Linked DNA regions of Callithrix jacchus. The protein of the gene in region 2 binds, or shares a complex with, the protein of the main gene of each other region. Links are inferred from orthologs where the notes say so. Each region holds a gene or a part of one and is shown on either strand. Other genes may lie near its edges. The genes, in order: CFD and CFB.

Region 1 (4,472 bases), on a different chromosome or scaffold from region 2:
TTGCAGGTGTCCCGGCGGTTGCTCTCCGCGCACATCAGGCGCTGGGTGATGGCGCCGTCGTGGTGCGTGCGCCGGTTGCAGGTGGCGCGGTCCATCACCGGCAGGACCACGTGCTGCAGGCGGTCGGGCCGGCGGCCCGCGTGGCTGACTGTGCCCCAGCCGGCCACGTCGCAGAGAGTGCCCGGCGCCACGTCGCGGTCCACGCGTTGCCAGGGCAGGGGGCGCACAGCAGGGCCCAGCACGGCCTCCTCAGACAGCTGGGGGTGGAGGCGGACGTCAGGGTTGGGGCGCGGGGCCGCGAGGCCGGGGAGCCCGGACGGGGGAAGTGGGCATCAGGGCAGGGGCGGGGGTCTCGGTGCAGCGGGAGAGGTCCAGGCTGGATCCTGGGTGGGGTGTGGGTGGGGGTGGGGTGGGTGCGAGGGTCCCCAGTGCAGCCGCAGAAGTCGAGGCTAGACCGAGGTGGGGATGCAGGGGGAGCAGGGGTCTTTGGGGGGGCTTCCAGCGCAGCAGGAGAGATCAAGGCTAGACCCAGGGGGAGGGGGCGGGGGCGGGGCGGGGCGGGGCGGGGCCCCCATGCAGCTGGAGAGGTCAGAGCTGGAGCTGGACCCGGGGTGGGGTGCGGGGGCAGCGGAGTTTTGGGGGACTGCTCCCAGCGCAGCAGGACTCATGGTGGGGATGCAGGGGGAGCGGGGGTTGGGGGCTCCCAGCGCAGCAGGACTCATGGTGGGGATGCAGGGGGAGCGGGGGTTGGGGGCTCCCAGCGCAGCAGGACTCATGGTGGGGATGCAGGGGGAGCGGGGGTTGGGGGCTCCCAGCGCAGCAGGAGAGGTCGAGGCTAGACCCAGGGCGAGGGTGCGGGGATGGGGGGCGGGGTCCCCATGAAGCCGGAGAGCTCGGGCTGGATCCAGGGTGGGGGTGCAGGCGGGGTGGAGTGAGGGTGGGTCGGGGGTCCCAGCAGGGCAGGAGACATCCAGGACAAACCCGGGGCGCGGGTGCAGGCGGGGCCGGGCGGACCTGCAGCAGGAGGAGGTCGTGGTCGATGGAGTCGGGCCGGCTGTCCGGGTGGCGCACTGCGCGGAGCACGTCGTACAGGCGCTTGGAGGGCTCCGGCTGCGACAGGGAATGCGCGCCCAGGAGTACCTGCACCTTCTCGTCGGCCCTGGGGACCGGGCGGGGTCCGCGGTCGGTGCCAGCCGAGCCTCCCCACCTCCCCCCGGGGCTCCTCCCTGCGCGCGCCGCCGACACTCACGCGTCCCCCAGGCAGTGCGCGGCGCTCAGCACCCACTGCTCCGCCACCAGGACGCCGCCGCACCGGTGCTCGCCGTTCACCTGCACCGATGCCATGTAGGGCCGCTCGTGGGCCACGGCCTCGCTGCCGCCCAGGATCCGACCTCGGGGCTGCGCCGCTGTGGGTCGTGGGACGCGTGAGGGCCGCGGGGTCAACTGCTCCCCTCGCCGGATCCCAGCCCTCACCCCACGGCCCGCTCCCAGCAAGAATCTCATCTCAGGGTGTGGTGATTCGTGCCTGTGACCCCAGCATCTGGGGAGGCCGAGGCGGATCACGAGGTCAGCGGTTCGAGACCAGCCTGACCAACACAATGAAACCCCGTCTCTATTAAAAATACAAAACATGGGCCGGGCGCGGTGGCTCACGCCTGTAATCCCAGCACTTTGGGAGGCCGAGGCGGGTGGATCACGAGGTTAAGAGATCGAGACCATCCTGGTCAACATGGTGAAACCCCGTCTCTACTAAAAATACAAAAAATTAGCTGGGCTTGGTGGCGCGTGCCTGTAATTCCAGCTACTCGGGAGGCTGAGGCAGGAGAATTGCCTGAACCCAGGAGGCGGAGGTTGTGGTGAGCCGAGATCGCGCCATTGCACTCCAGCCTGGGTAACAAGAAACTCTGTCTAAACAAAAAATAAATTAATAAATACAAAACATTAGCTGGGCGTGGTGGTGGGTGCCTGTAATCCCAGCTACTCTGGAGGATTAGGCAAGAGAATGGCTTGAACCCGGGAGGCTGAGGTTGCAGTGAGCCCAGATGGTGTCTCTGTAGCGGGCTGGGCAACAGACAGAGCAAGACTCTGTCTCAAAAAAAAAAAAAAAAAATCCATCTGCATCTTGGGGCCCCTCAGCGTCACAGACTCAGATGCTCCGGGGGCCAGAATGCCCGGGAGGACAGAAGCCACAGTGGGCTGGGGACCAGGGACGGATCCCAGTTCTCCACCCTGGGTGCAATGGCTTCCAACTGGACATAACAGAAATAGGGCTGACCCAGCCAGTGCCCTGTGGGTAACCCCCCATCTGGGCACCGAGGAAGGAGAGCTAAGCAGATCCCGGCACCAGTAGCGCCTGAAGAATGTCTTAGTTTATAGCGTTATTAGCTATTTCCTTCATATAATCCTTTACATATATAATCACATATTAGTTCACAGTGGGAACAATTAGTGCCCGAAGAATATCTTATTACTCGGTTACTTCCTTTTATATATATTCTTCATGCACTAATTGTGCCCGGGATCTGCTTAGCTCTCCTTTCTCAGTGCCCAGATTCGGGGTTACCTCCAGTGCCCCGGGCAGCTCAGCCAGCCGCGTGGAAGAACAGTTTTCCACGCAGACACTCAGATTCTCTCTGCAAGAAAAGCTGACCCCAGAAAGCTCCAATTTCCAATCCAAAGTTTCTAGATGGTGAGGAGTGACACTCCCCTCTTCCTGCCTACCTGGTGGGGCTGGAGGACCCTCCGTGTGACCGAGAGGGCCACCTGGCACACCCCTGCCCCTCACCCCAGGCCCAGGACCCCTTACCGCAGGCCACCACTCCTAGGAGGACCAGAACTGCCAGGCGCCCCCAGCTGTGCATGGTGAAGCCGCTGTGGTGGACACACTGACCCAGGCGGGGCCCTGGGGGTGCTTTTATGACGGTGGAGGGGGTGGGAGGCTCCCGGGAGCCCTGACTGTCAGGTGGGCAGTGCTCCAGCTGGAGAAAGGGGGACCCGCCCTCCCAGCCTCCACCCTCCTGGGGGCTGGGTTACCTCCTGCCAGACTCACACCAGAGTCAACAGGTTGCTGGGAGACCCTCCGGCCTCCGTGAGCCTGATGGCCTCTGGCCCTGGTCGGGGGGCAGTCCCTCAGATGGGCATGAAGTAGAGAGGGGGGCTGCACCCGCCCCAGCCCCCCAGCCCCAACTTCAGACCCGGAGTTCCTCCAGCTTGTTTCACAATCCCAGTTGGAAACCAGAATGTAAACAACCCACTTCCTCATCCTCCCGCCCCTCCCTTCTCCTCTTCCTCCTCCAAATTGGAGAGAAGCTCTGATGGGTGTGGGAGGGTCACTTGACACCCTTGTCTCTGTCCCCGCGGCTTCTGGGGCTTGATGCCCGGACAAGTAGAATGTTGGAAAGGACAGCGCAGAGGCAGCTGGGAAGACTGGCTACAAGAGACAAGAAAACCGAGACAAACTGGGTGGAGCCGGAATCGCGAAGGTTGTATAGAAAGTTCAGGGATGGCTGCTTTCAGGTGTGGTGTGATCCAGCTGCCTGAACAATGTCTAGTGTCTGCCTCTGGCTTCTCCTTTCTTCTCTGATGGCCTCTCTTCTCACCAGACTCCCCTGTTATGCTTCCAGGGACCCCACACTCAACCCAGTGGCTCAGTGGGCCCCTCTTAAAATTCCTCATCACTGCAGCCAAGTCTCAAAGTTGGCAGATCCTGGATCAAATGCCCACTGCCAAACTGTTCAGTGAGGGCAGGTTCTGATGAAAAGAATCAGGGCTGGCTGGGCACAGTGGCTCCCACCTCGCAGCCCAGCATGTTGAGAGACCAAGACAGGAGCCCTGGAATTCGAGGCCAGCTTGGGCAACATAGTGAGACCCCATCTCTGCAAAAAAATGAAAATACTTCTTGGAATCTGTGAGGTGGGAGTGGTGGGTCCATGGTGGGGAGGACTTCGGACATCATCCCCAGGGGGAGCAGCACACAGGATTTTCCCCATCCTTCTTTTCTCTCCATCATGGATTATTTACTTATTTATTTTCGAGACGGAATTTTGCTCTCGTTGCCCAGGCTGGAGTGCGACGGCACCATCTCGGCTCACTGCAGCCTCCGCCTCCCGGGTTCAGGCGATTCTCCCATCTCAGCCTCCCGAGTAGCTGGGATTACAGGCGCGCGCCACCGTGCCCAGCTGATTTTTTGTATTTTTGGTAGAGACGGGGTTTCACCATGTTGACCGGGATGGTCTCGATCTCTTGACCTTGTGATCCACCCGCCTCGGCCTCCCAAAGTGCTGGGATGACAGGCGTGAGCCCCCGCGCCCGGCCTTGCTTTTGTTTTACTGCAGATAGGGTCTTGCTCTGGAAGTGCAGGGACTGCGGGCCTGGCCGTGGTCAGCGCCATGTTTCACCTCTTCCCCACCAGGCTCCAGCTGCTCACCATGATTACCCTCTGTCTTCCTGTTTCATTTTCCTCTTACCACACC
Region 2 (4,065 bases):
TTGGAAGACCAGGGGAGGTGATAATCTCTTCCCTCTTCATAGACCACAAGTTGAAGTCAGGGACTAACACCAAGAAGGCCCTCCAGGCAGTGTACACCATGATGAGCTGGCCAGACAACCCTCCTGAAGGCTGGAACCGCACCCGCCATGTCATCATCCTCATGACTGATGGTCAGAAGGGACCTCTCTCCTGTCCCAGTCTCCCCTCCTTCTCAGACCAGCATGTGACCCTTAAGCCCACTTGTAACACTATACTCACAATTGGAGCCCCGAATGTGATTCATAGCTGGTTGTTAATCTCTCCTATGACCCTTTAGAATAAATTCTTCCTAAAGCCCTGTTACCAACTATCTCTATCCCTTCCTCAACTTGCTCACCTTGCCATGTGTACCACTGCCTCTAGACAATTTATCTTGCTTATCTCCCATCCTCATGGTCCCGACTCTTCTGCAGGATTGCACAACATGGGTGGGGACCCAGTTACCGTCATTGACGAGATCCGAGACTTGCTATACATTGGCAAGGATCGCAAAAACCCAAGGGAGGATTATCTGGGTGAGTAACCTGCCTAGGACCCAGCACCCTACTTTCTCAGGGATTGGACCCTCATCCTTCCTTTTTCTCCCTCAGATGTCTATGTGTTTGGCGTTGGGCCTTTGGTGGACTCGGTGAACATCAATGCTTTGGCTTCCAAGAAAGACAATGAGCAACACGTGTTCAAAGTCAAGGATATGGAAAACCTGGAAGATGTTTTCTTCCAAATGATTGGTAGGGAGATACAAGAAGGGAATAAAGAAGGCAACTCTCCTCAGGCTCCTCTGAAGTCATTCATTCTTCCTCTACCCCTGAAGCTCTAGTTGCCTGGAAAGGCTTTTCATTCCTCCTTCTCTACCTCCGTGTCACTATTCTTGTTTCCTGGCACTGTTCACTTCTTAACCTTAGAATCACAGAGTTCTGAGCACTTCAGAGATCTTTCTATAGTCCTACATTTGACACATGTGGAAACAGGCCAAAAGAGGTTAAGGGTAGCAAGCCAGCAACAGGGTTGGGCCTGAAAACAGCCAGGCCTCTGCCAGCTTGATCCTAAGTTCTTTTCCTTTTCACTCCCCTACAGCAGTTTTCTCCTAACACAAGGAAACAAATGCCCCTCACCTTTCCTTTTCTCCTTTTGGGCTTCTGCTCCCCATAGACATGCAGGGACTCTTCCCCAAAAGACTGCTGCCATTTGGGAATAAAGTATTCCCAGTTTTCAGCACATTCTCCTTCTCTGCCAGATGAATCCCAGTCCCTGAGTCTTTGTGGCATGGTTTGGGAACACAGGAAGGGTACCGATTACCACAAGCAACCATGGCAGGCCAAGATCTCAGTCACTGTAAGCACAGAATCCTAGTAGTGGAGACTTGGGGGAGGTGAGGTCAAGGTGAAATGGGAGTAGGGGAAGGGCAAAATGGCCGTAAGAGATGGTGGTTTGTGAAAGTTGAGCTTTCCCCCTCTACTGTTCTGTTCCCAGCGCCCTTCGAAGGGACATGAGAACTGTATGGGGGCTGTGGTGTCTGAGTACTTTGTGCTGACAGCAGCGCATTGTTTCACTGTGGATGACAAGGAACACTCGATCAAGGTCAGCGTGGGTAAGGATGCAACTGATGGTCCTGGGCTGCAGCTACGCCCTCCTACAGATCCTACACTCCACCCATCCTCGATGCAGCCCCATCCCTTGCAACCCAGACCAGTCAGAGATGGGGAAGACTTGAAGTCAGGAATGACACGGGGCCAGAGATAGGAAGCTGCCCACAAAGCAGTATCTACTCTACTTCAGGAGGGAAGAGACGGGAGCTGGAGATAGAAAAAATCCTATTTCACCCCAACTACAACATTAATGGGAAAAAAGCAGCAGGAATTCCTGAATTTTATGACTATGACGTTGCCTTGATCAAGCTCAAAACTAAGCTGCAGTATGACCCGACTACCAGGTGAGAGCATCCAGATCCCTGCTGGGAAAGCCTGGCTGGAGGACTGGGGTGAGGGGCAGGCCTGCTTTGCTGTTCCTGACTTTCTCCCTGTCCTTTATAGGCCCATTTGTCTCCCCTGCACCGAGGGAACAACTCGAGCTTTGAGGCTTCCTCCGGCGACCACTTGCCAGCAACAGAGTAAGACATATTCAGGGAGAGGATAAGGATGAGATCCCAAGAGACAAGTGGGGAATGAGAAGGAGGTGCAATAGGAAGAGATGATGCCCGGCCCAGGACCCAGCTCTAGGAAGGGCTTAGGGGACATCTGCTGAGTGACAAAGGCAATGGGGAGATGATAGTGGTGGGGGCAGCTGAAGTGACACAGTCTATTTGTCCAGAGGAAGAGCTGCTCCCTGCACAGGATATCAAAGCTCTGTTTGTATCTGAGGAGGAGAAGAAGCTGACTCGGAAGGAAGTCTACATCAAGAATGGTGATAAGGTAAGACATGGGCACCCTAAGGAGGTACTCTAGGCCCCAGCCCTTCCTAAGCTACATCTGTTCATTATCCTTCTCCATGCTTCCCACCTCCCCTACAGAAAGGCAGCTGTGAGAGAGATGCTCAATACGCTCCAGGCTATGACAAAGTCAAGGACATCTCTGAGGTGGTCACCCCCCGGTTCCTTTGTACTGGAGGAGTGAGTCCCTATGCTGACCCCAATACTTGCAGAGGTGAGAGAAGGCTCTGGGGTTGTGCGGCAAGTTCCCAAGGCCCAGGAGTCCTTTTCCCTACAGCTTCTCCTCTCCCTGCAGGCGATTCTGGCGGCCCCTTGATTGTTCACAAGAGGAGTCGTTTCATTCAAGTGAGTCCTCCCTTTCCTATCTGGGGAGATGCCAAGTGGTCAGCACAGGCCCGAAAGCAGGAAAGCTCAATGTATATTGAGCCCAGGGCCTGCTTCACCTCAGGGCCACATGTCTGGCCTGTGTCTGAACGAACAAGACTGAGCTGGGTCCCTAGTCTGATTCCTTTAGGTCAGCTAAGACACAACCAGGATCAGCCATGCTTCCAGGATTAGAAAGGAGGTCTACTGAATGATCCACGGCACCCCTCTGCCTCTGCAGGTTGGTGTAATCAGTTGGGGAGTAGTGGACGTCTGCAAAAACCACAGGCGGCAAAAGCAGGTACCTGCTCACGCCCGAGACTTTCACATTAACCTCTTCCAAGTGCTGCCCTGGCTGAAGGAGAAACTCCAAGATGAAGATTTGGGTTTTCTATAAGGGGTTTCCTGCTGGACTGAATTAAAACAGCTGCGACAACACCTGTGTTCCAGATCCTTTTGGGGCGATGGAGTGGGGAACAGGCACTGGCCATGTTGTTACAGAGATCAAACCTCACAGCCGTTTTTAAAGGCTTAACCCCAATCCCAAGTGCTGAAAAACCAGAGGCTGAGGGAGATGTGTAAGCTTCCACCTCAGTGTTTTACTGAGACCAGCATTGGGGCATATGAGGCACAAGGAATCCAGCTCTGGTCCCTAGAAGCCATCCACAAGGTTTTCCTTGTAGACATCATCACTGTAGACAATCTGGGTCCTCTTGTCCCGGTGGCAACCCTTAGGGCTGTTCTGGACAGCTAGGGAGGGAGGAGAGGAAGAGTTAAGGTCTAAAGGAGAACACAGATCAGACCCTGAGGCCGACTCTGGACTACCTCACTCCTGGCCGGGGTCTCTGGAAGCCAAGTTTTCACACTGCCCTCTGGTGGCCAGGATTGTCTGTCTCCCTTAGCTCCTTCGTGCCAACCCATGGCCAAGAAGAGTACAAGTGGATATTATGATGAATGTTTTGTTCTTAGAAAAATCCCAAATGTCATTGCTGAGACACGTGAACGATGTTACCCACTACTTATAGTATGTCAAAAGTTAAAAACTAGAAAACCTCTGTAGCCCTTTGTTGACATGCTAGTCAATTCTAGTTCCTTCATTTTGTCTGAAGGGTCATTCTTGCTCTGAGCCCTTCTTTCTGCTCACTTCTTTCCCAGGAACATCTACTTTCAGGTAGAATGGTTAATCACACTAAGAAATGCTACTAGCTCCACCAGGAGAACTCATCCAGGGTGTAGC

What was found.
Region 1: the proteins of CFB (region 2) and CFD are in contact, whole or in part, in a crystal structure (PDB 2XWB), measured with the Homo sapiens proteins. The link is inferred for Callithrix jacchus from reciprocal best matches to the Homo sapiens genes CFB and CFD. Residues at the interface, in NP_001701.2 of Homo sapiens: Glu298, Ala301, Ser302, Ala332, Asp333, Ile469, Asp470, Glu471, Ser472, Glu518, Tyr519, Lys585, Asp758, Glu759, Asp760; in NP_001919.2 of Homo sapiens: Asn157, His158, Ala159, Gly160, Arg161, Arg162, Arg182, Thr183, Asp186, Arg200, Val228, Cys229, Gly230, Asn231, Arg232, Lys233.

What each region holds. Positions count from the first base shown.
Region 1 is NC_133523.1:804,871-809,342, reverse strand, and holds the start of CFD (complement factor D), read right to left. Parts: upstream 2,888-4,472; 5' UTR 2,862-2,887; coding exon 2,807-2,861; intron 1,407-2,806; coding exon 1,250-1,406; intron 1,160-1,249; coding exon 982-1,159; intron 258-981; coding exon 1-257.
Region 2 is NC_133505.1:39,468,551-39,472,615, forward strand, and holds the end of CFB (complement factor B), read left to right. Parts: intron 1-42; coding exon 43-171; intron 172-453; coding exon 454-555; intron 556-630; coding exon 631-768; intron 769-1,274; coding exon 1,275-1,372; intron 1,373-1,510; coding exon 1,511-1,628; intron 1,629-1,816; coding exon 1,817-1,970; intron 1,971-2,070; coding exon 2,071-2,147; intron 2,148-2,347; coding exon 2,348-2,448; intron 2,449-2,546; coding exon 2,547-2,679; intron 2,680-2,760; coding exon 2,761-2,810; intron 2,811-3,069; coding exon 3,070-3,225; 3' UTR 3,226-3,266; downstream 3,267-4,065. Other genes in the region: NELFE (negative elongation factor E), read right to left, coding at 3,481-3,578.